Linked DNA regions of Coturnix japonica. The protein of the gene in region 1 purifies or fractionates together with the protein of each later gene. This does not show direct contact. Links are inferred from orthologs where the notes say so. Each region holds a gene or a part of one and is shown on either strand. Other genes may lie near its edges.

What was found.
Region 2: the proteins of LRP5 (region 1) and AXIN1 purify together in Homo sapiens (affinity purification with western blotting; 3 studies listed by BioGRID). This does not show direct contact. The link is inferred for Coturnix japonica from reciprocal best matches to the Homo sapiens genes LRP5 and AXIN1.

What each region holds. Positions count from the first base shown.
Region 1 is NC_029520.1:8,240,883-8,256,317, reverse strand, and holds the end of LRP5 (low-density lipoprotein receptor-related protein 5), read left to right. Parts: intron 1-1,080; coding exon 1,081-1,206; intron 1,207-2,795; coding exon 2,796-3,032; intron 3,033-3,748; coding exon 3,749-3,859; intron 3,860-5,345; coding exon 5,346-5,591; intron 5,592-6,708; coding exon 6,709-6,848; intron 6,849-7,636; coding exon 7,637-7,734; intron 7,735-8,369; coding exon 8,370-8,631; 3' UTR 8,632-13,609; downstream 13,610-15,435. UniProt on the Homo sapiens protein: Acts as a coreceptor with members of the frizzled family of seven-transmembrane spanning receptors to transduce signal by Wnt proteins.
Region 2 is NC_029529.1:10,799,599-10,814,203, forward strand, and holds the end of AXIN1 (axin-1), read left to right. Parts: intron 1-1,732; coding exon 1,733-1,909; intron 1,910-2,701; coding exon 2,702-2,947; intron 2,948-7,381; coding exon 7,382-7,549; intron 7,550-8,035; coding exon 8,036-8,162; 3' UTR 8,163-8,488; downstream 8,489-14,605. Other genes in the region: PDIA2 (protein disulfide-isomerase A2), read right to left, coding at 10,727-10,801, 10,917-11,003, 11,105-11,286, 11,425-11,545, 11,620-11,814, 11,890-12,015, 12,090-12,206, 12,271-12,408 and 3 more; ARHGDIG (rho GDP-dissociation inhibitor 3), read right to left, coding at 14,023-14,222, 14,299-14,362, 14,599-14,605. UniProt on the Homo sapiens protein: Component of the beta-catenin destruction complex required for regulating CTNNB1 levels through phosphorylation and ubiquitination, and modulating Wnt-signaling.

The DNA.
Region 1 (15,435 bases):
GTGCTCTGAAATCCTGCCTTTGTGGATGTGGAATTTCTCCTTGAATGGAAGTTGAGCCATTTTAGGTGCTCCATTCTGAAAGAGGTTGGTCACGTTGGACCTTGTTTTTCTGGCTTGCTTGACTCAGTTCCTGTGCTCTGTTAAACTTCAAACATTATGTGTAGCATTATCCTGTAGTGGGTACCTGGGAGACAGGAGAAGCCTTCATCTGTCCTCATGCTGCCTCCTTCAAGGAAATAGGCCAATAAGGTCGCTACCTCAGGATACACTGCTGTTGCAGGGAGAGAAGCAGTGAACTCTTCCAGATGAACCCTGTCTTTCATATTTCTCTCCCTTCACAGCACTCTGAACACAGAGTGAAGAAACCTGGGAAGAGGAACATCTTTACTTTATTTGGGCAGTAGTCAGTAAAGTTTTTCCCTTCTACCCATGTTCCACCTTGCCCTGTGGAAAGATGGAGGAGTACAAGACTACAGTATGGCAGAGTAAGGGAATGCAGGTCTGAGGTCTGGAGAGGAGTAATGCTTCCAGCATGTGAAGGGTTGGGGGTAGAAGTCTTATACAGGGAGGATGCAGTTAAGTGCAAACTTGCCTACAGGGGTAAACTGTTGGAAGGAAGGCAGCGTATTTAAGCTGTAGCTGATTCTATTTGCTAATCCTTAACCAGGTGTTCTTTTTTCTTTCACAACACTCAGTTTTTCTTCTTGTGTGCCATTTCTCTTACTTTAGTGCATTTCAGAGGTAGCACATAATGATGGAAAAACAACTTTTCTTTAAGTCTCAACACTGTTCATAAGAAAAAAGGGAGAGAGGGGGCTTTATATCCCACATGGTTTTAAGAAAGTTTATTTTATTATGGCAAGGGTAATGTTTCTTTGGGGTTGCACTGAAAGGACACACTTTCTTACATCTGAAATCTGTTACAACAGGAGAGTAAAAGTAAACATGTGCGTGTACATGAGGGCACTTTGCAACCCGTGCTTCAAACAGTAACATCTCCAACACTATGTTAAATTGTTTTTTTTTTAATTGAATTTTTTTTTAACACCACCCAGTCATTCTTTCTGTGTGCTTCTCCAGCTGCACATCCATGCTCCCGTGACAATGGTGGATGCTCACATATCTGCATTGCCAAAGGGGATGGGACTCCAAGATGTTCGTGCCCAGAGCACCTTGTGCTCCTGCAGAATCTCTTAACGTGCGGAGGTGAGTTGTGTTTAACAGCACTGCTAAGTGGTTTACAATGGGGAAAAAAAAATTAAGAATCACTGGAATATCAAATTTGGTCTATGACGTGCTGCTGGGTTTTGAGAACTGTCTATCTGGATGATGGTATTTTCAAAAACAACTGAATGAAGTCAGAATGGCCAAAATCAAATAGTTACTATTGCAAGAAAGTTGCCTGCCAAGGTGCTTGACTTCCATGTGATACAAAATTATATGAACTTCCTGCAGGAGTTTGCATCTGAATCCAGAATGTGGAGTTCTTCATTATTGTATGATGTGACAGTTTGTGCCATAAATGAATGTATATAACAGTGTTGATAAGCCATGATGATCTGGCAGTTGAATCTGTATGTATGATTCCTGCAGTACTCCAGCTTTTCAAATAACATAGTAACGTAACACACCATGCTGTCTAGTTAATGACAGAGGTTCAAAACCTCAGTTGCAGTTCTTATTAATTAAAGTAACTGTTGTCTTTCCTCATGGTAGGCATTCCCTTTACAATTCCCTTTCACAGCCCCAGGTATTTTGATATTTGTTACCTTACTATTGCAGAGGGCATTAAAAATGGGGGAAAAAATACTTATTTTTTGGGAGATATCCAATGTTAAATTATTTGGCTCTTTTGGTCCTCTGGGCTTTTTTTTTTTTTTTTTAATGTATTCATTTTGCTGTGGATTTCATTTTTCTGGCTGAGCTCTGACCTCCCGTGGGACAGTCCTTTCCATTATAAACTGTTTTCTTTCCCATGACCACAACACACTATGTGGTTGTAGAGTAGTGGAGGTTACATCTGCAGTTGGAAAAATAAAACATATTTCTTAATCTACTTCTGTTGAAAAACGTGGCCAGTGAGAGATTCTTCTGTTCCACTGCTCTGTTGTCTTCCCCTGTAAGCCTTAAAATTAAGGGGCCTCTTGCAGTCTCTGCTTCTTATTTATTTGTTTTCATTCTCATCCTTCACTGAGGTTGCAACAGCTTTTGTAATCTGTCTTGCCTGCAGTAGTAGTAGCTCATAAGCAAGTATTTCAGAGTTGGTTGACAGAGCCATTTTGGTTGGAGAACATTTTGTTCATATATTCTCGTGAACACACTTGACAAGGTTTTAAATGCAAATTCGTGGCTCTAGATGCACAAGTAGAAATCTGTCTGCCGAATTATCTAAACAGTACACTGCTGCCCAAACTAATGTCAGAATTACATTGATGCATCCATCTGGCATCCTTCCCTTATCTACAGCTGCCAGGTCACTGGATAGGTTTGTAAACCTCAGTATTGCTACGCCCAGTAATCATAACTCAGAAACTTGGAAACCATAGGAATGTCAAAAATTAAACGTATGGATTTTTACTTGGCATATTTGTTTTTGAAGCACTTGATTTTACTTGAGTCTCATTCTTAAACATTTCTCCTTAATGAAGGACAACAGCACTTCAAAAACAGTTTGTATTTTTACAGAATAACTTCAGTCCGGGCATACACAACTTTTTCTCCATCACATTTGCACTCTGTTGATAGGGCTAAAATTGATTGAACGCACAAGTGTTTTTTGTTTTCTCTTTCTGCAGAACCTCCAACTTGTTCCCCAGACCAGTTTACCTGTGCAACTGGAGAGATTGACTGTATCCCAATGGCGTGGCGGTGTGATGGATTCCCAGAGTGTGATGACCAGAGCGACGAGGATAGTTGCCCAATATGCTCTGCATCTCAGTTCCAGTGTGAGAAAGGACAATGTATTGATGCACATCTGAGGTGTAATGGAGAAATTGACTGCCAAGATAAATCTGATGAAGTGGATTGTGATAGTAAGAATCATGTTCTTCTCTTGGCTCTGACATAAGCACCTATTTGGGATTCTGTCTGTTTTGATACACATTCATGATTTTTGGTTTCAAATGGGCAAGAACGGCCTTAGTTTGGCAGTCTGGCAGAACTGTCCACTTGATTCTGCTTTTTTCTACAAAGTGAACCTTCGAGGGCTGCTGATTACTAGCCCTCATAAGACAGTCTCTTTTCTGATGATTTAATATAGTTTGAATTCACATAGAATTTGAAATCAGTTAACAAGACCATTTTACTGAAGCAGGGGCTTGTGGTTATAGATAAGAATATAACAGAGCTGTATTTGATAGAATGATATAAGGTAGTATAGACTATGTAAGATATGACTATATCTTCAGATACCTCATGTTTTAAGATGTCAGGCAATCAGTTACACCCATTTAGTTACTGTAGGAGGTCCTTTCTGATTTGCTTTCAGTTTTGCCTCAGCTGAACAAAAATGTGGTGTTTCAGAATTTTATATCATTCTCAATAAGTAGAATGTGTAATGGTACAAAGCAAGAATGAGAAAAGTGCTGACTGAATTTAAGCTACTGCAGCAAAACAGGTGTTCTGGTGCCTGCCTGTTTATAATTTAAAGTGCATTGTGGCTCGGCATATCTGACATCTTTTGGTTTTCTTAAGATTGTTGAACAGTGCCATGCAAGTCATACTGAATCTTCTCTTTCTTTCTGTGCAGCCATTTGTCTGCTCAATCAATTCCGATGTGCCAGTGGGCAGTGCATCCTCCTGAAGCAACAGTGCGACTCCTTTCCGGATTGCATTGATGGCTCAGATGAGCTCATGTGTGGTGAGATGTCTTTGCTTGAGACCAAGTGCTTAGTTTTCAGGTCTAACACCTTACAGCTGAATGCAAAGCTCCAGTCTTTACATAGGGAAGCCTGATGAATCTCAGCCCTGTACTAACTAGGTCAAATTAGTTTCTTCCTTCTATCTTCTAGGTGGGTTTCATGAGCAAGAGTGCTGAAAATAGCCGGGGTGGCAAAGAGAGAAAAGGCTAAAAGAATCAGAACTAGAGGATCTGTTTAGCTCTCCTTTTGTAGATCTCAGATTGCACGTGCTTCTTCTGATCCTCCCACATATCCCGTTTCTCACAGCCCTCACTCGGTTCCCCCCAGTTCCTTGGATACTGTGGAGCCACTTTTTCTTTCACTTTTATTTTTCAATTATTTTCTTTGTGCACTTGGCAAAAGTTTTGTGGTGCCAAGTTAATGCAAACGTTTCCTGCTTGCACTTTGGGTCTAGTCCTGCAATTAGGACTTAACTGATTTAAATGGGTTTTTATGTAGACATAAGACTGCCTCTTCTGAAGTTTCTTTGTGGAACAGAGCATTCTGTGGTTTCTTGATTGACTGAGGGAAAGTCAAGTAGGAAATAAAAATGATTGCTACTTTCAGGATGAAGGTCTTGCATGTAGAAGAAGCTAGGTTTAACCAAAATGAGAGTTTTGTGGTTTAAACTGGCTAATTCAAGAATCTGTTTTAGTTCTGGGTTTGCCTTCTTTCTGGTATCGTATCGGAGTTAATGTGCTTATTTAAAGGTTAAGTCCTTGGCTGACCTATGAGCTGTCATGCACTAATAAGAAAGACAGAAATGAATTCTTGATGTTGAACTGCTAAAAGTTCATTGATACTTCTTTACATTTCCTTTGTCTTCCTTCTCAGCTTTCAGTTCTTTTACATTCCCTTCAGCTGAAGGGCAAGAATTTAGAATGTAGTCAGTGGGAGAATGATACGTATCAAATCTCAAGTACTGCAAGACTTTTTATTATTTAACACTGGGCTATATGGGTGAAAAAGAAATTAGTAGTAGAAAGTATTTGAGATATTCTGGTTGTGTGTTTTTATTCCAATCTGTAAGGTTCTTAATAGTCACTAAGAATACTTTTACATCCTAAAATGTCACCTCTTAAGAGCTTTTAGCTAGGAAGACATCCACTGCTCCATGCATTCTGTAGCTTGCCTACCAGTCAGATCTTAGAAACAAAATCCTACTGGCTGTTGTTATATCAAGATGACAAGTAATCCTCTTACAAGGTGAATTGCTAGACAGAAAGAAGAATACATTGCTGTTACTGCTTTATTTACATGTAGGGATAGAAGTCTCATGCATAGAATCAGAATCTATGTAGCAAGAGATGGCTGAGTTTAGATGCAGTGACTTTCAAAGACATGATGTAAATGACTGTGCTGACTTATGTACTATGCAATATCCAGGATAGCATGATATATATTGCCATATTTAATGACATCCTTTTGTTTCTCCCCTTTTTCCAGAAAAATCAAAGCCATCCTCAGATGAACCTCAGCCCCACAGCAGTGCCATTGGTCCCGTCATTGGAATAATACTTTCCCTTTTTGTCATGGGAGGAATGTACTTCGTTTGCCAGCGAGTAGTGTGTCAGCGCTACGCCGGGCCCAACAGTCCCTTTCCACATGAGTATGTCAGTGGCACGCCTCACGTCCCTCTTAATTTTATTGCGCCAGGAAGTTCTCAGCATGGCACTTTTACTGGTAAGGATGGTAAGAACCCTAATAAGCACCATTACATTGTCTGGATTTGAGGTTCTGCAGGTTATTAAGAGCTGACTGTTGCCTGAGGTGTAATGAAAACATCCCCTTTGGTTTAGTCCATCTCTGAGACAGATTTCCTGTTTGCTTTTGGACAATGTGTTTGTTCTCTCTCTGTCTCAGGCCTTCATCTCTAAAGAAGCAGAATTTCTCTACCTTGCCAAGTAATCAAAACATCCGTCCAGAGAACTGTGTGCAGATAATAAGTTGAGACTGAAGGAGAATGTTGTTATTTCTTTCTAATTTGGCTGCCATAGATTTTCATGGCTCGTTATTGCTGTGACAGTGACAGTCTGACCACTGATGTTAATTCTAATGAGAAGACGTATGTTGAAGCGCGGTGCTTCAGAAAAGTGATTGGTCATGAACAGTGGTCACAAAGAGAATCATCCTGCTTTTCCTAAGTATTTCCCAAGGCTGAAACATTTCTGAAAGCTTCTGAGCTCAGCTCTTCCGTTGGCACTGAATATTTTGGTGGGAAGAATGAGAATATGATTTAAGTTAAAAAAAAATAGGACTGTGTTGTTTTCCCCTTTTTCTGCCACCCAGGCATCCTTCCTTTTTTCAGTTTAAAAAAGTGGGGTTTTTTTTCCAGTAAGAGTATATATATATTTCCTTGCTCTTGTTCTTGTACTTGCAATTGAATTTCATTGGATGGAAATGAAAACTTCGGATGTCTCTGGCTTGTTTCTCTTGGGCAGTGTATAGTGCTTATTTTTGCAAATACTCAAGTCTGTTTAGATGGAAAATTTCTTCGTTAGCAATTTGGGTGGAAAATTTGGATCAACTGATCTGGAGATTCCTTTCTCAGCGGACTGAGAGCACTCCTTTGTGAGGAGCTGCAGGGTCACAATAGGTGGTCTGGGGGTGAGGTGTTTGCTTTACATAATATAAAATTGAAAATATGTTGTTCTTTGTAATCCTGAAGCTTTTATGTAGAAGATCATTCCAAAAGCAACAACCAGTAGAGTTACGTGGATTTGCCAAGCTCTGGATTTGTTTTCTGGTTTGCATTAATAGATGAAACTGTGGTTTACCTAACCTTGGATTCCTCTCTGTCTCACTGCAGGAATCTCTTGTGGAAAGTCTATGATGAGCTCCATGAGCCTCATGGGAGGGAGCAGTGGTGCCCCCTTATATGACAGAAACCATGTTACTGGAGCCTCTTCTAGTAGCTCATCCAGCACTAAAGCCACTTTCTACCCACAGGTATGTCTTGAACATAAGGCTGTGACTCAGATATTGGAATTCAGCAGAGCTCCTCATTTAATTTTCTCTCGTGCTTCACCAGAATCTGTGTAACTTGATGTACAATTTCATGCTAGCACCCAGTTGTTGCATCAGTGCCACAGTAAAGGGATGAAGAGAAAAAGTGTAGGTGGATTTATTAAAAAAAATAAATTCTTAGTTAAATGAATCTTAAAAGACAAAAGTAGCCCAGGAGCTGATCTGCCTGTACCATTATGTTTTGATATTTCTATTGGCCAAACTCTTCCACTGGGGGTACAAGCCTAAACTAAACTCTTACTTGGAATTCTTCTACCCTTCCAATTCAGTGCTATGTGAGCCAGGACCTGCAGGGACAAAATGTCTGCCTTCAGAAAGAGTGCCATGCCAGATTATAATACAGAAGTTGTTGTGAGGGCTTTGCTATCTTAAAGTTACTGCTGACCCAACTGTCAGTTCTTCCTGGTAGCTTTGTGTTTACCCAGCTTTACGTTAACTACAAAAAGAAGCAGTCTGAGCAATCTAAATGTCTTGGCTTTGCACCTGCTGCCCTGTATTTGTTTTAATAAATCCAAACCCAAAATAAGGTCTCTTAATTAACTCATATGATCTTAAAAAAAAATAAAAAAATAAGCATCAATCCGCCCAAGCAGCAATGAGAGGAATAGCAGATAATGTCAAGTGACTCACTGAAGGAGTAAATTATATTTTCAAAATAAGCAGAGTTGTGCAATTAACTCAAACTGAAATACTGATTTTAATCTTCCTAGATCTTGAACCCGCCTCCGTCCCCAGCTACCGATCGCTCCCTGTATAATGCAGAGATGTTTTATTCTTCAAACATTCCTTCAACCACAAGATCTTACAGGTACAGCTCAGATAAAAAGGTTTGATACACATTCCATTGGTCTGTCCTTTACTTTTGCATCTTAAACAGAACGTTCTCGTTTAGACCTTTCCCTTGATTTAAAAAAAAGAAAAAAAAGGGGAAAAAAAACCCATCAAACTTTGCCTCTCTTAATAAATGACCATTCAAATTGAGATTATGCTATTTGTGACCCATAAGTGTTAGCTTTGTTTCTTATTTTGATGCAACAGGGTGTATCTGCGCATTTATATTTATATTGCTTTGTAGTGGCCACTTGGCATCCTGTGAGGAGGGTTTGGTCTGGTCTGCTCTGATGGGTTTAACTTATTTGTTAGTTCTTGGGACCAAACTAAGTGGTCACGTTGGTCTTCTCTGCTGCCCAAACCTATGGATGTACCACCAGGTCAGAAGCTGGCAAAATGCACTGCGAGCTCCAGGTTGCTGTGCCATTCAGTTGTAACACAGTTCAAATACTTCTCATTTGGCTCCCATGAAAACCTGAGCTACAGCTGATATAGAATGAAGCAACATCTGACATCTTGACTGTGGACGTAGGCATTCGTTTTCAATGTCTTTGTTTCCCTTTTTCAAAAATCACAACTAATGCGTGTGCTTTTTATTTTGTTACCTCGCAGGCCTTACCTTATACGAGGGACAGCTCCACCCACAACCCCGTGCAGCACAGATGTTTGTGACAGTGACTATACCACTAGTCGATGGAAAGCCAACAAGTACTATATAGATTTAAACTCAGACTCAGACCCTTACCCCCCTCCACCCACACCTCGCAGCCAGTACATGTCGGCAGAAGAAAGTTGCCCTCCATCTCCTGCCACAGAACGAAGCTATTTTCACCTATACCCACCTCCACCCTCTCCTTGTACAGACTCCTCATGACCTCAACAGAAGGAACTTTCCCTGTAAATATTTTTAAATATGAACAGATTTTAAATATATATTTTATGATTTAAAAGATAAAAAGGGGTGGGAATTAAAAAGGAAAAAAAAAAAAGAAAAAGAAAAAGAAATGTGAATAAAAACGGGTGGGAGGGATGGGGCTGTGAAAATTGTACAAAGGAAGAATATTTATAAAATTGATTTTTTTAACTTAAATTCCCTTCTTTTGTGCCATATTTGCCTTTTTGAAATCACGGAACTGACTTATTCCCCAAAGGATTTGGGGAGGCAATGTTGAGCCTTTTTGCATTTCAAACCACCTTTTTACACGCAAAGTGTATGCAATTCTTTTTACAAATGTGAGAAAAGAAAGTGAAATGGCTTGTGGAAGGAGGAGGCTAAAGACCAATATTCACAGAGAAGAAAAACGTGCTTAAATAGTTTGTCAGTCTCTCATCCCTTGTACATCACTGGGAGAAAACATGCAAAGTGTACCACTGTCATAAGCTCCTGTTTGCCAGTGAGCTGAGTGCTTCCCAGCAGAACCTGTGTCTTGAGACCTGGATTTTGAATCCCGGTCTACATTTGCTCAGCACTGAACTGGAAAAACACCTATTTTAACCAAGTCTTTCAAATCGGCTGTTCACACAGGCATGGTGTCCTGACTCACACAAGTACCGTACTGTGTACTGGTTCTGGAACTGATAGGAGCTAGAAACATACCCAGATTTCAAATGCTTGGTTGAACTACAGTCAGTTCCCACTTTGAGTGCATGATAGTAGAAGTTGTAATGGCCTGCCAGTGAGAGCAAGGGGCTCTTAACAAGAGAAATGCCTGACAAACTGCAGCTTTGCTCAGGTTCACCATTTTAATTTGAATGAAACCGGGTTCTTTCCTCCTTGTCTAGCATCTACTTCCTTGTGAGGCTTTGGTGACTTCTCAAAATACAGTGGTGCCTCACCTTTCACCCCGAAGTTTGGTAATTCCTCTGTTCTGGGTCTTTGAGATGTTTACCCATGTTGAATTCAACAGTGAATTGCTTCACCTCCAGTGTTCATTTCCCAAAGCGGGACAATACAGTGGCTTGTGTTTGAAGTGATGAAAGTTGTTTGTTTGTTTGTAGGACATGTTGAGCTCAAAACCAAAACATCTGCCATTCATGCAGTTTAGTCATGTCATCAAAATTTGCCACCAAGTTAGTCTAGATTTAAGTACGTTAAAAGCATGGGGCGGAAGGAGAGAAGGCAAATACATCCGATTGTATTAAAAGAAAGAAGCTGCAACAAACTACTGTATCCTTGGGACACCATAATCAGTGAAGTGCTCCTGCTTCTAGCTCAGGCCAAACCCTTTTGTGAAAGGGAGGCTGGGATAAGAGCCTTTCACAGCACAGAAGATAGATTTTTGCTTTGATTCATCTCCTGTTGTAACAAAGGGATTTGGGTATTGAATGGCAGTTTTCACCTCTGTCAGTGATGATGTGTGTGCCTACCTGGGATATCTGAGGGAAAATCTGAATATGCAGAGCTGCACCTGTTTCTGCAGCTGCTGAATTAACACGTGGTGACTCTTTGACAGCCTTAATATTGTTGGCAACAACAAGAGGTTTTTCCTTTTTGAACTTTAAATTATGTTTGGGTCGGTGTTTTTTGAACAAAAGACGCCTAGGACTCCAAGGGCAAAGGTTGTTGCAGTGGTGGGGCTAGGACCATGGAGTTCCAATCCAGTCTGTGTTGACAGATTTGTTAGTGCAGGTCTGTTCTTCCTGTGTTGTTAAAGGACAATATTGGTGCTGTCATTGTTGCATTACTGGAACTGTTCAAGTAGATTTCAGTACCTTCATGGCTAAATTTTTGCTTCTGAGTTTCGCGTTTGGCACAAATATGATGCCCACCATTTCCTGTGGAGAAAAATAGAGAACTGGAGAATCCAGCACTGGAGTTTAAGAATGGATTCTCTTCCCCCATCCCTTGCCAAAGTTTGCAGTTAACACCATACATTGTTTTATGCGTAACTGTTGGTCGTTTGTAATGAATGTATTCATTGTTTCATGTTACAGTTCTAGTACAGAGCCATACCATACTAATATTCCTGTGTTCCTGTGATGACACTGAATGCAAGATTACTTTTTTTTCCCCCTTTCCTTAAACCACTGATGGTTTCAAAGAGCTGCCACTGTAGCAATCCCAACCACTTTGTCTTATTCTCCTCTTATAAAGTTTGGAGTTGAGTGCAAGAAAATTAGCTGAGAGTCAGGCTGACTTAAGGACCAATGGAACTTGACCCCTAAGTACTCAGAAGGAAGCGAGCACTTGCTGAATGGAATGGATTAAGCATGTGTGCTAATTGTATTTCAATTGGATGTTCGGAACCTCTTGCTGCTGATGTTTGCTGAGCAATCACTTCATCTGAGGCGCTTCAGGTTTTGTGATCAGAATGCAGGTTCCACGCTGCTCCATGGAACTGACTTGAAAAGCCTCTCCTGAAGAGAACTTGTAAGCAAATATGTAGCATCTAAGGATTTAAAGAATAAAATATTGCTTTTTGTTGCCGTAGGCTGTCTAATCTAAAAGATCTGTGCACTCCTGCTGTCAAAAAAGACCGTATATTTGAGAGAGAAGAGCTGCTTTTCTCCAGAAATATCCCCTGGTGTGTTTTTAGTGAAGTATGTTTTCCATCCTGTGAACCTTCAGGCTAAAACTTTTAAAACAGATGCTTGCTGCTTCTAGATCAGGATGAGGGAAAGTGCTGGGTGGAATTATTGAAGGTGTGTGGCAAGTTGTAGCAGTGCAGGGCTGAGCGGGAAATAAGAAGGGAAAAGTTATGTTTTGCTGAGGTTCAGGTGTGGTTCTGTTAGTGCAGAAGGGTGCTATGAGAAAGGCTTGAGGTATCCTGGTGTGTCCTAGGAGTTCTGCACCAAGAACCTGCAGGGGGCTGCAAGTGGTTGGACTTTCCATGTGAGCATCTGAGTACTTGAATCAGTTTACTGAAGTATTTTCAGAGCCCATTACGACTGTATATTAGCACTTTAAAGCAGCTTGGGGTGGAGAATGGAGCTGTGTCTGTATAGCAGCTAGTAATGGGCAAATGAACTGGGTGATTCTGTGTTACATCTAAGGGCAGATTTCAGAGCAGAGAGCTGTTTCTTTGCCTTCTGGTGCAGTCACAAAGGCAGCTATGAGGGTCATCTTCTCTCTGTTGAATTTATTCTGTCTGTGCAACAAATGCAGTAGCAATGTGAAGCTGTAAGGTAAATGGGCAGACTTAAAAATCATGATCATCATTGGCAAGGTATCCTTTGATTTCAAGCACAGAGTTGGTGTGAATTTGAAACTCTGAAGTGTCTGTGCATGGCAGCAGTCGCTAAGGGCTGGCCATGCTGTGCTGAGCTACCAGTGACCTGGGCGTTCACCCTCTGCCTGTAGGGTCAAATCCTTTTGCTACAGAGAGCTCTGGGGCTGTTCTGCATCAGAGCCTGTGGAGTGCATTGTAGTACATTACGAGTGTGCTCGGTCAGACTTGACAACGTTGTGTGCCCCGTGTGCTCTGTGCATTATCAGAAGCAGATCTTTTCTGATGTCAGTCATTTTGTTGGAGTATGTGTTGAGTCAGTCCAAATGAGTAGCTGTGCTTATAATTGTACAACAAGTGATACCCATTAATGTCAGGAAATGAAAACAGAAGGCAGGCATGTTCCCAGTAATTAATAACACGCAGGAGTGCCTGGCACGGAGCCCTGAATTAGAAATAATGTATTTGTTGCTACGGTGCTGAGGGACGTTTTGCAAACTTCCATGTTTGGGCTGAGCCTCGGACAAGCCATAATCCAACATGACAGACATTTACAGAACGGTTATTCAGTTGTTTCTGTTTAATAATGAGTGCACTATAAATGATGAGTGCAGTCCTCTCCACAAGTTTCAAAGTGCCTGCTGTTCTGTTAGTGTTCCTTTACATACTGCAACGCTTTTGTCATTAAATAGAAAATACCCTTTCTTTGACTATCGGGAGTTCAACTGAGCAGCTTTAAGGTGTTTCCCACGTGTTAAAAGTATCATTAATATACATAGGTATTTTCATTCCCATTCCCAAGAACATGTACTGAAGGGGTTTTGTAAAGGGTATTCTGCTCTACTTTGTGTATTTTGCTGTTGGCCAACTATGCTGTGGATCTGCTCATGTTAGATCATGCTCCTGGGCAGGGGGAGGAGAAACAGATTTAAATCAGTGTTAAACCTACTGATAAGAATGATGGAAACCAAGCTTATACAAATGGCTTCTTCATCCTGCAACCAAGTTCCTCCGATGCTGTGTCCCACCTCTGCAATACTCCCAGCTGCCCATGGCTGTAAGACACCACAACCGGGCTGTCCCCAGCGCCTGAGAAGGCAGGAGCCACATACAGAGCCAGCACAGAATCCTGCTGGATAGAAGATGACGGAAACAATTCCTAAACAGGACACTTGACACCAATGAAATATGTGCAGAGAACACGCCTTGAAAGAGAAGAAAATCAAGTCTCATAGCTACAGAGATGGACCAGCTCACCAGCATTTATGTCTGTTCAACGAGTGCCCCTATGGATGTACCTTAATCTGACTGATGCTCCCAGGGAAGCTGTGTCCAATGAAGGCCACCATGTCCCACTTGTATTTGTACAGAGATCCTGCAATGTGTAAACGAGAGCAGAAGTATCTTAATTGCACCCACGAATGCAGCAGTCATAAATGGTATTAATCAGCCTGCAGAGGTCAGAACAAAAGCTGTGGAAAAGTACTTTGCTGTTGGATGTGAGATTTGGAGGGCATCATTGACTAAACTCTAACCCAGACAGCTTTTTTACTTATCTAATTGTATTGTAATTGCTGCTATTTGTAAATGTACCTGAATATACAAAGATTACCAAGATTTTTTATGGTAAACACACGCAATCTTTTTTATGTTTATATTAAAACGTGTATTCTGCAAACAACCTAATAATAACAGCTTTATATGTGTATCATTTTGTAGGATCTGTTACTACAAAGGACAACCAAACCTAGTACTGAAGTGCCTTCTGTGTTTAAGCAGCTCAGACATTGACTGGGGAACAAATTAAAGCTTTAAATGACAGAAGCCCCACGAATCCTATGTTGAGTGCACTCTAATGATTCTGAGTAAACACAGTGTTTGGTTCTCCTCAGCTCAAATGCGTCCACAAGTAGTGGAACTGAAACAGACAGCTGAGGGGTTTTTAGGGCGTGCATATCTTGAGTTTGTAATATATTGGGGTTTGTCTCAAATGCATTATTCCAGGTGGACATTCATTTCCATCTTTGTTTTGGCAGCAATTTGAAAGCGTTAAACACGAGTTATTAAAGAAGTGCCAACAGGTGACGCTTTAGTATTTGGGGATTTCATTGACGTTATTTTCAGATTGTCATTACAGTATTTTTTGTGAAAGCCATTTGCCGTGTTTCAGGTCTTTACCAGTTGTTTTCCAAAGGTGGCCTTTAAGATACAAACGAACCTGGTTGGAACTGTCATAAGGTTTCTTTGAGGCTTTCATCACTTCAGACCATTATACACTAACAGTTTTCTGGTCACGAAACCACGATTCTTGGTGTTAACAAAAGTGCAGTTGTTGGAAATAACTGCTATTTTGTATAAAGATTTGTAAAGATAAGAGTGTGCCTTTGTACAATAGATTCTGTGGATTTGGTTTTTATAATAAATATATTTTAAATATTTGATTAGGAGTCCTTGTGGGCAGTGATATTTCAGCATCTGCAACAGAGGCAACCAGCCGGTGGCACAGTGGTATCAGGCCCTGTTTGCTAACAACAGTGCTGCTGTCTCCTCGTTTTTACTTTAAAATATAGCAGCAAGAGCAAGGAGGTGAAGAGGTTAATTGGAAAGCTGCATGTCTTTAGAGTTATGACTGTAAGCAAGCTATCCAGCTTACCACAACTTTGTCAGCATCATTACCCTGTCAAATCCATTGCAATTTGTTTTGATAACTGCTGTGGTTTTGCTATACCGGGTCAGGTCAGTATTTTTTTTTCTTCCTTTTCAATGTATTATATGTTTTAAATCATCTCCTTAGGAGACAAAACCAAATTTGTGACTAAAGACTCTGTTTTTTTCAGGTGGGCATACTCGAGAACTAGCTTTGCTGAGTCTAGTTTGGTCTTACATTCCTGCAGTCAGTACAGATAATCTCAGGTGCGTGAAGTCAAAACAACCTTTGTCTTTTCCTAACTGTGAAGTCAAAATAGTCCTTACCCATCTTCCTGTTACATTCACACGAGTGAAACTCAGTGTGTCTGGTGAGCTTTGACAAGGTAAAGGTGAGTTCTCAGCACTGAATATCTGTTCTTTCTAAGGCCTCGGTGTGTCTGTGATCTCACAGATTGAAGGTTTCTGAGAGTAAGCAGTTCCATTAGTTTGTTTGTAATAGGGATAGGGGAGAACTGACTGTGGAGCAAAGATGAGGGAGAAGGTGGACCAAAAATGATAAGAAAAGGCTCCTGGTGTCTATGAGAGGCTCCCTGCAATCGTGGCGGATAAGTCAATGGGCTGGAGAGGGCAAGCCAACTAATTTGCAAATAATATCCTTCTGAGATCAAAGCCTGTCATTATGTCAGAACTGTTCTGCTAATGAAAGTGTGACTTCTGTCTCAAAGACATATACTTTCGCAAGGTAACAGTTCTAGCCACAAACGGCCCATCTGTAAAGCTGTGTGTCTCTAGGTGTCAGCAATATCAGGAGCTGCCAAGGAAATTAAAAGGAGAATCTGGAGATGGATTTAGAAAAATCTCAG
Region 2 (14,605 bases), on another chromosome or scaffold:
TTGGGAGGTGATAAAAGTAGGGCTGTGTCTCGGGATCTGGGTAACAGAAACCAGGTTCTTAAGCTGTTTATGAGAGAACAAAAAGGTTCATCTTTTTGCAAGGCCTGTTTTATTCACCAGAAGGTTTCCTTTCTCTTCCTGGCTAAGCAGTGGATGTTCTGGTGCTGCTGTGGCCTGCTATCCCAAGGGGACATTCTCCCTGACAGGGGCTTCTTTAGATGCAGTTCAGGATTCAGCTGGCTTTCTGGGCTGCAGTGCACACTGCTCATGTTCAGTTTTGCAATGACCACCCAATTCCTCCATCTTCTATCTGTGTGCTGAATGGAGAGGGTGAAGCTCATTCTCTGCAGCAGCAGGTTTTGCTAGTCCTGTGTTTGCATTACTGCAAAGGTGAGGCTCAGGGCTACCTTGAATAATGAATGCTGATTGTAAGTGTGGAGAAACTGCAGTGCAGAGCTCATTAGCTCCTTGAGGTGTGTTGTCTGGGAGCAGTGTACTGGGGGTAGGATATTTAGTGAAGACAGGCAGCCAGATCAATGTGTAGGAGCAACTTTATGGGGTGGGAGAAGGGAGGCAGAGCGCAGGGGCAGCTGAAGCAAACTGCTTTCCAGGTGGGGAAGAAGGGCCCCCACGTCTGCCCAGCTTCCATAGGAAAAGGGCTAAGATATGGCTGGGTTGGTTCTACAGAGCATGCCATGCTGGATCAACCCAGAGCCCCATCTAAGTACAGAGCTCCTCTCTAGCACTGTCTGCAACACATGCTTAAAGGAAATGTCAGAGGGTGCATTCAGAGCTGTCCTTTCTTTAGCACAAACTCCCAGTTCCTGATTCTCCCCAGGGTAGGAGCCTCGTAAGAGAAGAGTTCACATCTGAACAGTCTTGTTCTTTTTTCTGTCAGTGCTAATGAGCATACAGAAGTAAAGCAGGTGGGTGATCAGGATGCGGGGGTGGCCGGTAAAACTGCTGGCTATGGCAATGACAGGCCAGCACTGTGCAGCCCCATGAGCATGTAGGTGCCTGGCTGCACTGCTGGGCAAATGGGCAGCACGTTGCCAAGGAGGGATGGGATAATTGTAGTGATGTGCTATAGCCATAAACATAGCCAGGGCCTTTCCATAACTGCCTGGTTTCAATCTAGCTGTAGTCTGATGGGACTGTATTACCCAGGTTGGTGACAGCCTGCAGAAGGCATTATAAATGTTTAAGTACAACATGAAGCCTCAGTTCAAGTGGTGGTGAGAAACAAGTGCTTGGCATGGCAGAACGGCAGGAGGGGGTTTGGGGTGCTAGTGAACCTGTAAGCAAGTGTGAGGATGGCACAGGAAGGGCTCTGAGTAAGAGCAGTGATCTGACACGGAGAGGCAGCCAATGGATTGCAGCACCAGGCTGATCCTCGTGCTCTGAGCCTGTTAATCATGTTGGAGCAGAGAACTGAGGGTTGAACACAATCCTTTATGTGGCAGGAGATCTGCTGGGCTTTTTTGCTGCATTGCCGTGGCTTGTTTGCCAGATGCATTCCCTGTTTTGCATGTGGGACAGGGAGCCTGATGTGCCTCAGGCTAACCAACCTTGCCCTGAGCCTTAGCCATGGCACAGTTGGTTGAGCTGTAGTAGAACCAAGCAGACCCTGGCAGGGCTGAATGTGTCCAAGAGAGACGTGTCCATCCTCTGCCACTGTCTGTGGAGGTTTGGCTTAGGCAAAGCGCTAATGTCTCAAGCTTTGTTCTTGCAGTGGGAAAGCAAGTCTGCTCTCAAAAAGAAATATTAAGAAGACCGATTCAGGGAAAAGTGATGGTGCCAACTATGAGATGCCAGGATCTCCTGAAGACGTGGAGAGAAACCAGAAGATCCTTCAGTGGATCATAGAAGGAGAGAAGGAGATCAGCAGGCATAAGAAAACAAACCATGGGTAAGGGCTGGTAGAGTGAGGAGTCTTCATGCTGTCCTATTGTATCCCCTGCGTAAGGCACATATAGGCTGTGCAGTGGTCTGCCTTGTTCCTGGAGGTCTTGGGAAGACAAGCATCCACCAGGCACAAGGGTTAAGGTCCTTTGGAGACTGAGGATTGCTTGGGAGCTTTAAGCATAAAATTCATTTACTTTCCTGAAGAATGAATTGTGGTGGTGGGAGGAGGTTGAAGCCTCAGAGGAATCTCACAAATTGCTGCTGTGGGTACAGAATGGATAATGAGGCACACAGTAGGCAGTATTTTTGCTTTAGGCACTTTCTGTACATAAACAGCTGTCAGTTGTGCAAAGTGTTGATAGAAATGTAGGTCCTGCTGCACTGAAGCCATTGGTCCAGAGTTAGCAGTTTAAGAGGGCTCAGGTAAGGAGAACTGGGTTGCCCAGCGTTTGGGCTTGTTGAGAGCATCCTCTGGACAGTTTTTTGCCTTGTTTCACAATAGTAGCTGAGATAAGTTGCTCTGCAGGCAGCTGGGGCCGTGCCAGAGCCATGGGCAGTGCCGCAGGGGCTGGCAAGGATGAGCACAGTGCTGCAACATCCACTGCCCATCAGTGGCTCACAGCCTGGCAGTGCACATCAGGGCGTCTTCTGGCGGATCCTGCTGAACAAATTTGATCCATCATTGAGCTGCCTTCTGCTGGGTTTGTTTCTATTGTGCATTTCATGGTATCATCTGGACGTGCACGTGTGCAGAGTGACTCAGCAGCCTGTGTAAAACCTTTGTATTTGTGTGTAGCTCTTCAGGTGCTAAGAAGCAGCTGTCCCACGACATGGTCCGACCCCTCTCCATTGAGCGGCCTGTTGCAGTGCATCCGTGGGTCAGTGCCCAGCTCCGGAACGTCGTCCAGCCTTCACATCCTTTCATCCAAGATCCTACCATGCCACCCAACCCAGCACCCAACCCACTCACCCAGTTGGAAGAAGCTCGCAGGAGGTTGGAGGAGGAGGAAAAGAGAGCTGGAAAACTCCCACTGAAACAAAGGTATGGCCATGGGGTCTGAGTATGCATGGGAGAAAAGGGGGGAGGCTGCTCTGTGACTGGGGAGCCATGGGAGGTGCTGTGCTCCAGTTTCCAGCACTAACTGAGTGGAGGCACCTGCAGAGAGGTCAGGGAAGCCTCCTCATTCTCTCTGACATGGCTTCTGACAGGCAAATGCCACAAGCTGCCTTAAGGCCTGGGCTTGAGTTTTGTGGATTGGAAGTCTGGAAATGTTCTGAATGAGCCTGGGCAGGTGGAGCCTGTTTAGAAATAGCATGAGAGGGAAGAGCGCTCTTTGTAGAACTAGTCAGCGTCCGGTTTGCTGTACTCACCTCATCTTCACCAGCACACTCGTGGTTCGTTCACACACTGGTTGCAGAGTTCTTGGTTGGTGCAGTGGCAAAATTCAGCAGAATGCAGCAAAATTAAGTGCAGAAGAATATGTATGTGCTCTTTATCTACATCTCATTCAATCTTCCAGCAAAGGAAGCTTGTGGCAGCTCAGGGGGAGCGCTGCACACTGCTGCAGCAGTATTGTTCTCTGCATGCCTGTATCCAAGTCACTGCAGCTTCCTGTGACTCAGCTCAATGCCTGTTGCAGAGCTAATTCTTCTGCTCCCGTATTATCTTTCAGGGAGGATTAGTTGCAAGGCACACAGAGCTCTCAGATGAAAAACATTTTGGAAGTGCTTGATAATTACTGTTAAGAACTAAAAGCACTTTGACCATTAAAAACCTTTCACAATGGGAATTGCTTGTAGTCACTTCATTGCTTTATAGCTGTGTTCTGAAAACTCTAAACTTTGGAGTCTGACATTCAGAAACATGAGTGTAATTTAAAGAACAAGCTCCTCTAATTGCTGAGCTGCAATTATTTGTGCTTGCAGTGGTCATGTAGCAGACTTCTGCATATTTATATCAGAGCATTGATTGGAAGCTAAATAATTAGAGGGCTCTCCCACGTCGGCTTGGGCCAGGCTTATTTGATCTAACTTTCACTTGGTGTAATTGGATAAGGTTTATTTGTGGAGTCATTTATAGTCATATTAAATTCATACACCTTCCCAAGAAACGTCTAGGTGCAGATGCACACTTGGGAAACACCAGCCTGGGCTTTATGCATGTGTCTTGAATACTCTAATAACAACTTGGCAGCTTTTGTAGAAACCCCATGGCGTTGTGGTATGTGCCCTTCAGACCAGCAGGAGAACAGGCTGAGCCACGCTGGGCCGTTCTGCTTTCACACTTGTGCTGCCTCCTCACAGTGTTTGAGGCTGGGCCATTGATCTTTGGGAGCCTATGCAAGCTGAAGTGTCCAGTGCTGGCTGACCTGACCTCTTGTGCCCATTGTGTTGGTGGAGAGCCTTGTCCCGGTGGTTGCTTGCCTGTGCAGTCAGTTTTTGAGCCATTTTCTGTAGCTCACTGTCACAGTGCACATACGTTTCCAGCTGGAAGAAGTAATTAGTAGCAGCTCTGCAGAGAAGAGATTTTCGTAAGCAGCAAAAGAATTTTCTAGTCTCTCCAGCAAAAATGTTAGCGTGAGCTTGGTTTGGAATTAGTTTGATTGGGCCAGGCCTGGAAGAGGAGCAGAGCTGGATGCTGGGACACCTCCTGAGGTAACATCTGCTGGCTGTATTTCAGGCTTTCCACAGCTCTTTGGCCCCAGGGCTGGGATGGAGCAAACCTCCCCTGTGCTGGGCATGGCAGCATCACAGCTGGGCTGTGTCTGTGCTCTGACACAGGCTGAGTTAGTGCTGGTCATAGAACCATAGAATCACAGCATGGTTGGGTTGGAAGAGACCTTACAGCCCCCCCCCCAGTCCCACCCCTGCCATGATCTGGCTGCCTCCCCAGCTCAAGGCTCCTTGGGCAGGGTAAGGTGCAGTAAGGCAGTCAGCACTGCATTTATCTTGCTGGGTAACATTTCCTGCTTGTGACAAACTTTGCAAAGGGAGCTGAGGCCAGAAGAAGGAACAGAGAGTTAATTGTGTGTGTTCATGGAGAGGGTACACTGCAGACCCAGGGGATGGGTGCAGATGGAGGCTCCAATGAGGCAGGGTTCAGGCGTGCTGTGATGGAGCAGCACACTCAGCAGGGGCCCATCTGGGTTAGAAGTGGCCTCGGGAGGTTTCTGTGCGATGATGGCAGCAGAGATGGTTGTGTTGTCATGTTCTCAGGGGAGGAATGTCTGGAAAACTGTGTTGTCAATGATTCCTTATTCATCATCCCTGCTTCAGTTTGCTAGAGATCTGGGGACGTGTGTGTATTCTGTGATGCTTTAAAGGGTGATGTTCCTTCCTGCAAGGAGGCACCAAACCTTTGGCTCTTGTCCCATCACTGGTGGCCTCCTGGGGTCCTGTCAGAAAGAACCAGGCGGCTCTTTCTCCCTCACATGCTTTCCAGAAGCCACACGGTCCCCACAGCCCCTTTCTGAGCCTGGGGAAGAGGAGCACAGCAGCCAGTCTGAGGTGGCTGCAAAGCAGCTTTTCAGGCACAAATTACACAGTGGGAGGAGGAAGGCTCCCAGCCATTGGCACAATCCTGCTCTGGCTTTATCATGGCAGAGCTGGGGAGCTCGAGGTGTTGGTTGTGACAGTCCTGCCTGCCCCCCCAGTGACCAAGGAGCTGCCCTCCAGCAGCCTAAGCACCATGCTGCATGCACAGCGTGTGTCATTGCATCCCCACCAGCCTCCGTGCCAGCTCCCCTGGGCACCAGCAGCTCTCTCATAGTCATGACTCGTTTCCAGCAGCATTAAGAGAAGCTGAGGGACTCTGAGGTTTTCCAAACCCCTTCAATTAACTCCTGGCTCACAGGATACACAGAATTTGCCTGAATTTATGACCCGTTTTTCCTTTAAACACATGATTTTATTTTTTATTTTTTCCAGAGGATGATTCAATTCCTTAATGTTTTTCTGCCTAAAGGGCATCCTGTGCTTTGATACAGGGATGGCTTCTAAGAGCTGTGCTGGCACAAGGAGCTCCATCACCTCTTGGGATGCTGCAGTTTCTCCAATGGTCTCCAGAGCAGAGCAGGCACCAGGAGCATTATGAGCTGAACTTTAGACCTCTCATGGCTTTAGAAAGAGGTGACAGAGTTCTCCCTGGTCTTGGTTTGCAGTGCCAATGTTATTGTGGACGTGCCATTACAAAGGTGCTGTGACTGTATTTAAAGGTTGAGGTCACAGCCATTTCCAACACTGCCATTAGCTCATGTGCTTGGCGTATTCTGCTCTTATAGCAACTTTCCAGTCCTATAAATACAAAATCATCCTTTTTTTTTTCTCCTTTTTTTTCCCTTTTACCCCGTGTGCCTTTTAAATGATTTTAAAGCTGCCAAATCTGTTTTATGTGATTCTGAAAGAGAAGGCTGCCTCTGGCTGAGACCACACATGCCAAGCAACGCATTTGTGTAGGCTGCTCAAATGTTTGTGCAGCATTTACAGCGCCCCAGATGAAAGGCTCCACACAAGTGCAAAGTGCCCTTATTTTGATTGTTGCTACTTTTGTCTGACTCTGAAAATGAGGCGAGGACTGGACACTTTCAATCTGGTGATGGCACCAAGTAGCAAATGCCAGTGTGTGGGCTGGAGGGAAGGAGCAGACCGACATCCCGACAGGCAGGAAGGTGTGAGAGGTTCCAGGTCTGCTCACTGGAGGTTTGAGGATGGTGTCTGCCTTCCAAAATCCAGCCTGCAGCCCAGCCAGGCCTTGCATGATGGAGCAAGACAGGATGGGGTGAGCAGCAAAGCACACAGGGTTTGGCACATCCCAGAGCTGCACATGAGAACTCCAAATGCTTCACAAAGGGAGTTGCTAGCTGATATGGATGGCACTTTCTTCTCCTTGTCTATGATATGAAGGCTTCTCCTGCAGACTGAGCCCTGGGAGCCATCACCGAAGCACTGCTTGTACTGAGGTCCAGGTAGCAAGCCTTGAAGCCTGAAGCCCAAGCACAGTGGTGCACACCGGTGGTGACACTGGTTGGCTGCAGTGGGTGTGTGATGCTCTGCCTTGCTCTGCCTAAACCAATTGCTCTCAGAGTTCAGTGCTGCAGGAAAGCCACTTCAAAGCCTGTCCCTGGGATGGGTTTCTGCAGCATGAAGGGGCTGAGCTGGAACCTGTGCCCTGTTCCTCCTATCTATGAGCTGGCCTCCATCCAGCCTTTCTAAGTGCTGTTCACCAGCCTGAGTGCACAGATGTATGCCAAGAAAGGTGGTCAGAGTAAAAGATGTTTCCTGAGGGCCCTGAGTGTTACTTTGGCACCTCCATACAGAAAGGCTCCAGTTCTCTGCAGATAAATGAAGGTCTGGACCTGCATCCCCTGCCTGGGCAGCCCCTCACCCCAACCAGCACCCAGTGCTGCCGATGATGCTGAGTCTGTGCCAAGCACCATAGGCCGATACTCAGGACATTGCTTGTGATTTTGTACAACAGGTTGAAGCCCCAGAAGAGACCAGGCAGCGGAGCATCCCAGCCATGTGAGAACATCGTGGTCGCTTATTACTTCTGTGGAGAGCCCATCCCATATCGCACCCTCGTCAAAGGGCGCGTGGTGACACTGGGACAGTTCAAGGAGCTGCTGACCAAGAAAGGGAACTACAGGTAAGGGCTGTTTGCCACTTGCAGTGTGGTGCCAGCAGACTGTCAGCACCCCCTGGCAGCTGCTACCACCAGGATGTTGATCCTGTCAAGGCAAAGGAGGTAGGTCAGGGGAGCTACTGGGGTTCTCAGCAGCCTTGCAGGGTTGTGGCAGCATCTGGTTGCCAGTGGACATTCCTTTCACTTAGAAAAGTAAGTCCCAAAGTGAGCCAGGAATGTGCTTTTTAAATAAGGGTAGAACTCAGACTTGCATCTGGAGTCCTACCTCCAGAAATATCCTGCATCACAGTTTGCTTCTCAACATGCCTGCTTGCATTCTGACTACCCTCACTAGGAGAGGGCAGGGGTGGATGCCAGCCTCCATGTCTGCTGGGGCTGCTCCCATTCATCATGAGCTCACAGCCACAGCTGCCCCCCATGTTTGGGTATCACTGTGATGTCCCACGTGGCCCTTAACCCCTCTGTGTCCCCGTGTTCCTTCCCTTTCAGGTATTACTTTAAGAAAGTGAGTGATGAGTTTGACTGCGGTGTGGTCTTCGAGGAGGTGCGGGAGGACGACACCATCCTGCCCATCTTCGAAGAGAAGATCATTGGGAAGGTGGAGAAGATCGATTAGGCTCCAAGGCTGCAGGAAAGGACTGTGAAAGACTCTGGGACTGGAGGAGAAGGTCTGGGGCAGACGCTGGCGGTGCTACTCCAGGAGGTGCTGGGCGAGCCCACGGTGCAGCCCACTCTGTGCCAGGACCTGGGCAAGCTCTGTTGTGCCATGGGAAGTCGTTTCACCCCCACAAACCTGCCAGTGGGAGCCTGGGCTCCCTCTCCATACGGAATATAAGTGTAATGTAGCATTGTACAGTGCATTAGAAAGTGTAAAATGAACTTGTTTACTAAAGCTGCATATTTTTGATATATTGTAATAAAAGGAAAATATTTCCAATGTCACAGTGCTCTTATGTAAATGTAAAAACACGCAGGTACTGCAGAACGCACCCAAAGTGTACAGCCATCCATCAGACTCCGTGTGGTCCTCGCTTTCACAGCCCCCCTTCCCTGCCCCCTCAGTGTGGATGGCTCTGAGCAATGCTGGGCTGGGGTGCACCCAGCCGACAAGCTGCTGTCCCTGCTGCTGTGGAAGTCACTGCTGCACTCCAGAGTGGCCCCCACTGAAGATTATTGAGCCACTCTGAACGAGTTGAGCTCTCGCCTCCCTGGCAGTCGCAGCTATTGGACCTGGTAGGGGTGGTTTTCCTCCTGAGCTTTCTTGTGACCAAGTGAATCCCCAAGGGAAAGGGAGGGTGGGTGCCAGTTCTTGGTGCTGCAGGCTTCCTGTGGTGCCTTCCACCAGGGCAGGGCTGTGGGCCACCAGTGAGGGTCAGCTGCTGCTCAGCACTGCGGGGCTGGACACTGGCATCCCATGCCCTGTGCTTGTCCCCCACATGTGCCTGCTCTTGGGGCAGACGTTCCCTCCTGGAGGTTGCTGCAGCCCCAATGAAGGGCTGGCAGCTGTGTGCAGACCCCAGTGCCAAGGCTGGGCTTTGCTCAGGGGTGTTGCCTTAGGAGAGGGGTAGTTCAGGGAGGAAACCAATGAGACACTTCCAGTCTGAGGACAGAAACCATCGTGTTATGAATCCGGTGTCTTCTGTCAGGTTCTGTCTCTGGGGAAGCAGTGTGAGGGGTCTGAAGCCAGCAGCAAAGGAGTTGAGGGGCTGTTGTACAGCCAGGTCCCCCAAATGCTGCAGTCACTGTAAGGGGCAACTACTGGGGTGCAGATGGGTCTGATCTCAGCTCCACCTGCCCTCAGCCCTGCCCTTCCCACCAGCCCAGGCTGTGCTCTGTGCCCCAGCAGCCGCAGCCCTGCACCAGCCATTGGGCAAACCCTGTGCCCGCAGCTCCAGCTCCTCGGGGGTCCCACATCAGCACTCACCCTGCCTGCCCACATGCCCCATTGCTCACTGCTGTTGCAGCACTGGGGCACAACCCGGCTGCCTGCAGGCGGTTCGCAGTAGCTGGGTGACAACTCAGCCTCTTGTACAGCGTCACGTGCCTTTAAACACGGTTCTGTGACTTGCCTACCACTATGTGAAGTCCAGCAAAATCTGCAATCGTTTTCAACCAGGGAACAGTGTTACGAGCGTCTTTTCCTCCCTCTTTTTTAAGTTCTGCTGGTGTTGTGTCTGGTGAGGTTGTTGCCATGCCTGGGATTTCCGTCTCCCCCTTATTTTTCTCAGGGGGTTCCCTGTAAATATGTACATTTGCTGAGCGCAGCATCCTCCAGCGGCCGTGCAGCCCTGCTGGTGTCTCCTGTGCATCCTCATGTGCTGACTTGTACAATGATCTTTTCAAAGGTACTTGGATAAAATGAAATAAAGCCCCACATCCCGGTGCCTTCTGGTTTCTTCCTTCCCCGCGGAGCAGACGTGGGAGTGGGTTGAGAATGGGAGCAGACAGAAGGGCTCTGCTTTGACCCAGGGCCATGGGCACACAAATGGGGCTGCCCACAGGGTGGGCATGGGGGTCCCAGAGCCATTGCTTATGGCTGGAGAGCAGCAGCTCAGGGGGGAGGGGATGGTGCTGGGGACTGAGACTGTGAGCCAGGCATTGGAAAGGCTCCAGAGGGCTCTTTAGAGCCCAATTTGGGGCTACTCCTGCCTTTCCAGGGTGTGAAAGCAGCTGCTGGGACTGGAGCCCTGGGGCAGCTCTGCATTATTGCAGCCCAGGTGTGAGGCAGGAGGCCTTGGGGCCATGAAGCTGAAAGCCTTCTGTGGTTCCTTCATCCCCGAAACCCTGACAGCCCCATGCCTGGGGCAGCACAAGGGCCAACCTGGGCTGCCTGCAGCACTCTGACACTGCAGGGACAGAAGGACGAGAATCACAGCGTGCCCAGGGCTGTGTTGGGTCCAGCATCACAGGAAGGCAAAGGCAGCACCCCCTCCATGGGAATGCTCAGTGCCATGGGTGCCTGAGGCCAAGCTGACCATGGGACCGACTGCCCTGCACACCCCAGTGGGCTCAACCCCCATCGAGGCACCCACCAGCTGCACTGTGTCCCCAGGAGGCCAAGCAGGCAGCATTCAGTGCCATGTGCCCCATGACATGGCTGTCAGCTGCATCCCACAGACACAGACAGAGCCCGCATCATTTCCAGGGTCATTTATAATGCCCACTGCAGCAGGACAGGACTCACAGCTCCTCCCGGGCTTCGGCTGTGCCAGATGAGCTCGGTGACTCTGTGCTGTTCTCTGGGGCCATGGACACCTGCAGAAGGTGATGGTGAGGCAGGGATGGACGTGTCCTGTCTCCATCCCACGTGTCCTGCAGGGTCTGTGCCCTGGGTGGCAGCCCCTGCCCAGGGATGGGGCACCTCTCTCACCGTGGGTGGCTCCTCCGGCAGCTTCCCTCCATTCTCCAGGAACTTGGAGAAGGTCTCCACGTCTCGAGCACTCCGATATTCAACCATCTGGAGCCGGGGGACAGGAGGAGGACACAGGGTGACATCTGAGCCTGACCTTCCCCAGGTGCTGGCAGTGCCAGGGATTCCCCACACCTGTCCCTGCCCACCTTCCTGCCCGGCCCAGCAGGGAAGTAGTGCAGTGTTGGGTATCCGCTGATGGTGATGTTCTCCAGCTCGTTGGCTGTGGCATCCATCTCAGCAATGACAATGTCCTCGTGGTCCTTGTAGCGCTCGCCCAGCTCCTCCCAGGCAGCCGCCATCTCCTGGCAGTGGGTGCACCACGGAGCATCTGTGTGACGGGCACAGGGCTGGAGGTCACAGCCAGGCTGGGGGCACCGGGGGTAGGCGAGGGGTGGGGATGCAGGAGAGGTCATGGAGAGGGGCTCAGCCCCACGATGCAGCTCAGGAACAGGACTTCAGCACTTACAGAACTTCACAAAGACGTTCTTGGTCTCATCAAATGCCACCTGCTCAAAGGTCTTCCCCACCAGCACTTTAACGGGCCGCGTGTTCCAGTCCTCGGGGGGCTCTGCACTCAGCAGCTGGGGCTGTGGGGACAGCAGGGATGTCCTGCTGGGACCTGTTTGGGGCCAGGTTCAGATCCAGGCTCCCATCTGCTCACCTTCACCTTCCCGTCCAGCACTGCCCGCACAAAGTCGCGTATGGCCGTGGCTGAGAAGGCGTCTGCCTCCATGCGGTACTTGCGGTTGTTCTCCATCTTGATGAGGCGCAGTGTGGGCGCATCACTGGGATTCAGACCAAAGAAGTGCAAAACAGAGGCACCGTACCCGTCCACATCCACCACCACGAAGAGCACCTGGAGGGGGAGATGGGCAGTGCTGAGGCTGTGGTCCCCCAGGTCCCATCCTTGCTTGCCATGGGATCACCTCACCTCACCCCGGAAGGCGCTGGCGGCCGCACGGAACTCATCCCGCAGTGCCTGCTGCTCGGCTACAGAGGTGTTGAGGAAGAGCAGCATGTGGTTGGGGATCTTGGCCCCAAAGATCTGTCCGGAGGTCTGTAAGGGAGGAGGAGGGTGAGAGGCTGGGCACCCTGCAGCCACACCAGGGCTGGGGAGGGCAGCAGCCGAACCTCATTCAAGAAGTCCATCACCAACTGCAGGCTGTGCACGCGGAGCAGCCGCGTCATCTCGGCCACATTCAGGCCCTGCTCCGGGTCCACGGGGAAATCCGTCCTCTCCTCATCGAACTGCCAGGTGTGGGACAGTGAGCACCAGGCCCCGCCGCAGCCCCACCACCCCAACCCCACTCACCTTCTTGAAGAGGCAGACGGTGTCGGCCGACAGCCCGTACGCCTTGAACAGCTCATCCGCCTCGGCCACTCCGAACACCACCTCCACCACCTCCTCAGCCACCTCATAGAACGCCCGCGCCGCCGCACTGTGCAGGTCCTGCATGGTTCCACCATCAGCACCGCCATTCCAACAGCACAGCACAGCCCTGCCCGGCCCCAGCCCACCTTGAAGAAGCCCACGGCCGCGATGTCCTGCGCTCTGATGAAGGCGGCAGCGGTGTCGGCATCATGCAGCAGCGTGGCGCTGGGCCCGGCCCGGCGCTGCATCCACAGCACCATGCCCTCGGCGTCCATGCGGCCTGAGCACGGAGCGGGGTTGCCACTGCCACTACGGCCATCACAGCCACCACCCCAATGCGTGCCACCACCACCCCTGGGCACATCACCACCAGCACCTGCTGCTGTCAGGATGCCATCACCCCTTCACCATCACCCTCCCACCCACCCCATGCCCCCGCAGTGCCCCCGCGCAGCCCTACCGCTGTAGGCCACAGGGTGGGTGCGATTGCCGTCACGGAACAGTTTGAGCGTGGGGAAGGCCTGGATGTGGAACTCAGAGCTCAGGTTTGTCTGCGTCACGGCGTCCACCTTGCCCAGCCGCGCCACCTCCGATCCGTTCCTCAGCAATGCGGCCGCACGGGCGAACTCAGGGGCCAGGCGGCGACAGTGCCCACACCACGGAGCGTCTGTGCAGGGCCCGGGGTCAGCACAGCACGGCCAAGGGGGGTGTCCCCAACCCTGGGGTGTCCCCAGCCCAGAGGTGAGGCTGAGGGCACCTAATGGCACATGTGAGCCGCCATGACCCATGTCTCATATCCTTCTGCCATAAGGTTCGCATCCCTGCTGTGCACCCCACCCTAGGACCCTGCCCTCCCTCCCTGCTCCACCTCTCAAGCCCAGAACCCCTCTGCCGACCCCTGTCCTTCAGGCCCTCACGTTGCATCTCACACCCCCCAGCCCTGCTCTGCCCCCCACCTTCCCCACGGGCACTCACAGAACTCCACCAGCAGCAGCCGGTGCTCGCGCAGGGCACGGGCGAAGTTGTGCTCATGGAGCACCAGGACACCATCCTCCTCCTCCAGCTCATCCGACAGCACCTCATCCTCTTCATCCCCCTCCTCCTCTTCGGTCGCCATCACCTCCCCATCCTCCTCCCCACCCTCAGCCCCCCACACCCGCCCCAGCCAGGCCAGTGACAGCAGTAGCACCCACAGCACCGCGCCGCCCCGCATGGCGCCGTCCCACTGCCAAAGCCTTCGCAAGGGGAGAGGGGCAGATAAGGGCAGTGGGGCGGGAGGTGCTGGGCCGTGGGAGCTCGTGGCCCTCCGCTACTGGCTGCCAGCACAGAGATAAGGCAGGGAGCAGGTGGCGGATTTCCAGACACACGTCCCCACAGCGGGACAGGGCCAGGGGACACGGACACGGCATAAGAGACACGTCTGTAGGGTTTAATGGCGATGGAGGAGCGGAGCCCGCGGCTGGGCTCAGCTCATTGCAGTGCACAGCGATGGAGGTGCCGCGAGGACGAGTCGGGCGTCGGTATCAAAAAAAAACGGCGATTAAAAATAACTTTGGTTGCCAAGACCACGACCGCGGGCGCCCGCTTTGCTAAGGGACCCCCCCACCTTCCCATCGGTGGGGCGGCGCGGGCGGCAAGGGGTCCCCGGGCGGCAGGGGGGGGATCCCCGCAATGGTGGGACCTGGGGGGGTCTCAGTCCTCCCAGCCCTTCCGTATGCACAGCCCCCACTCCCAGGCCAGGTGCTCCGTCTTGTCGTCGTCAGTGACCAGCGAGCGCACGCGGTAGGAGCCACGCGCCAGCCGACCCCGCGGCACCTCCTCGGCCGGTGTCACCACCTCGTACTCCTCAGCCCTCGGCGCGTAGCTGCCCACCATGAAGACATCACGGTCCACTGGGTGAGAGGGTGAGAGGGGTTTGGGTGAGCAGGGCGGGGGGTTCTGCCCCATCCCACCCCTGACCCCACTCACCCGGCCGGCCACAGCGATATGTCAGGTGCCGACACTTCAGCCCGCAGACGATCTCCCTGTTCACCTGCGGGGCACAAAGGGGCTGTGAGCGGCTGCGCATGGTGGGCTGGGAGGGACACCCACCCTACAGCCACCACAACGCACTGCCATGCGGATCCTGATGGGCACTGAGCAGGGCCAAGGGTGGCACGTGGCCTGGTGGTGGCAGTGATGCAGTGTGGGTCCTCAGGTGGACAGGGACCCCCAGAGAGGCACAGAGCCCTCAGGTGGATGTCAGGTGCCCACGGAGCAGGGCCTTACCTTGAAG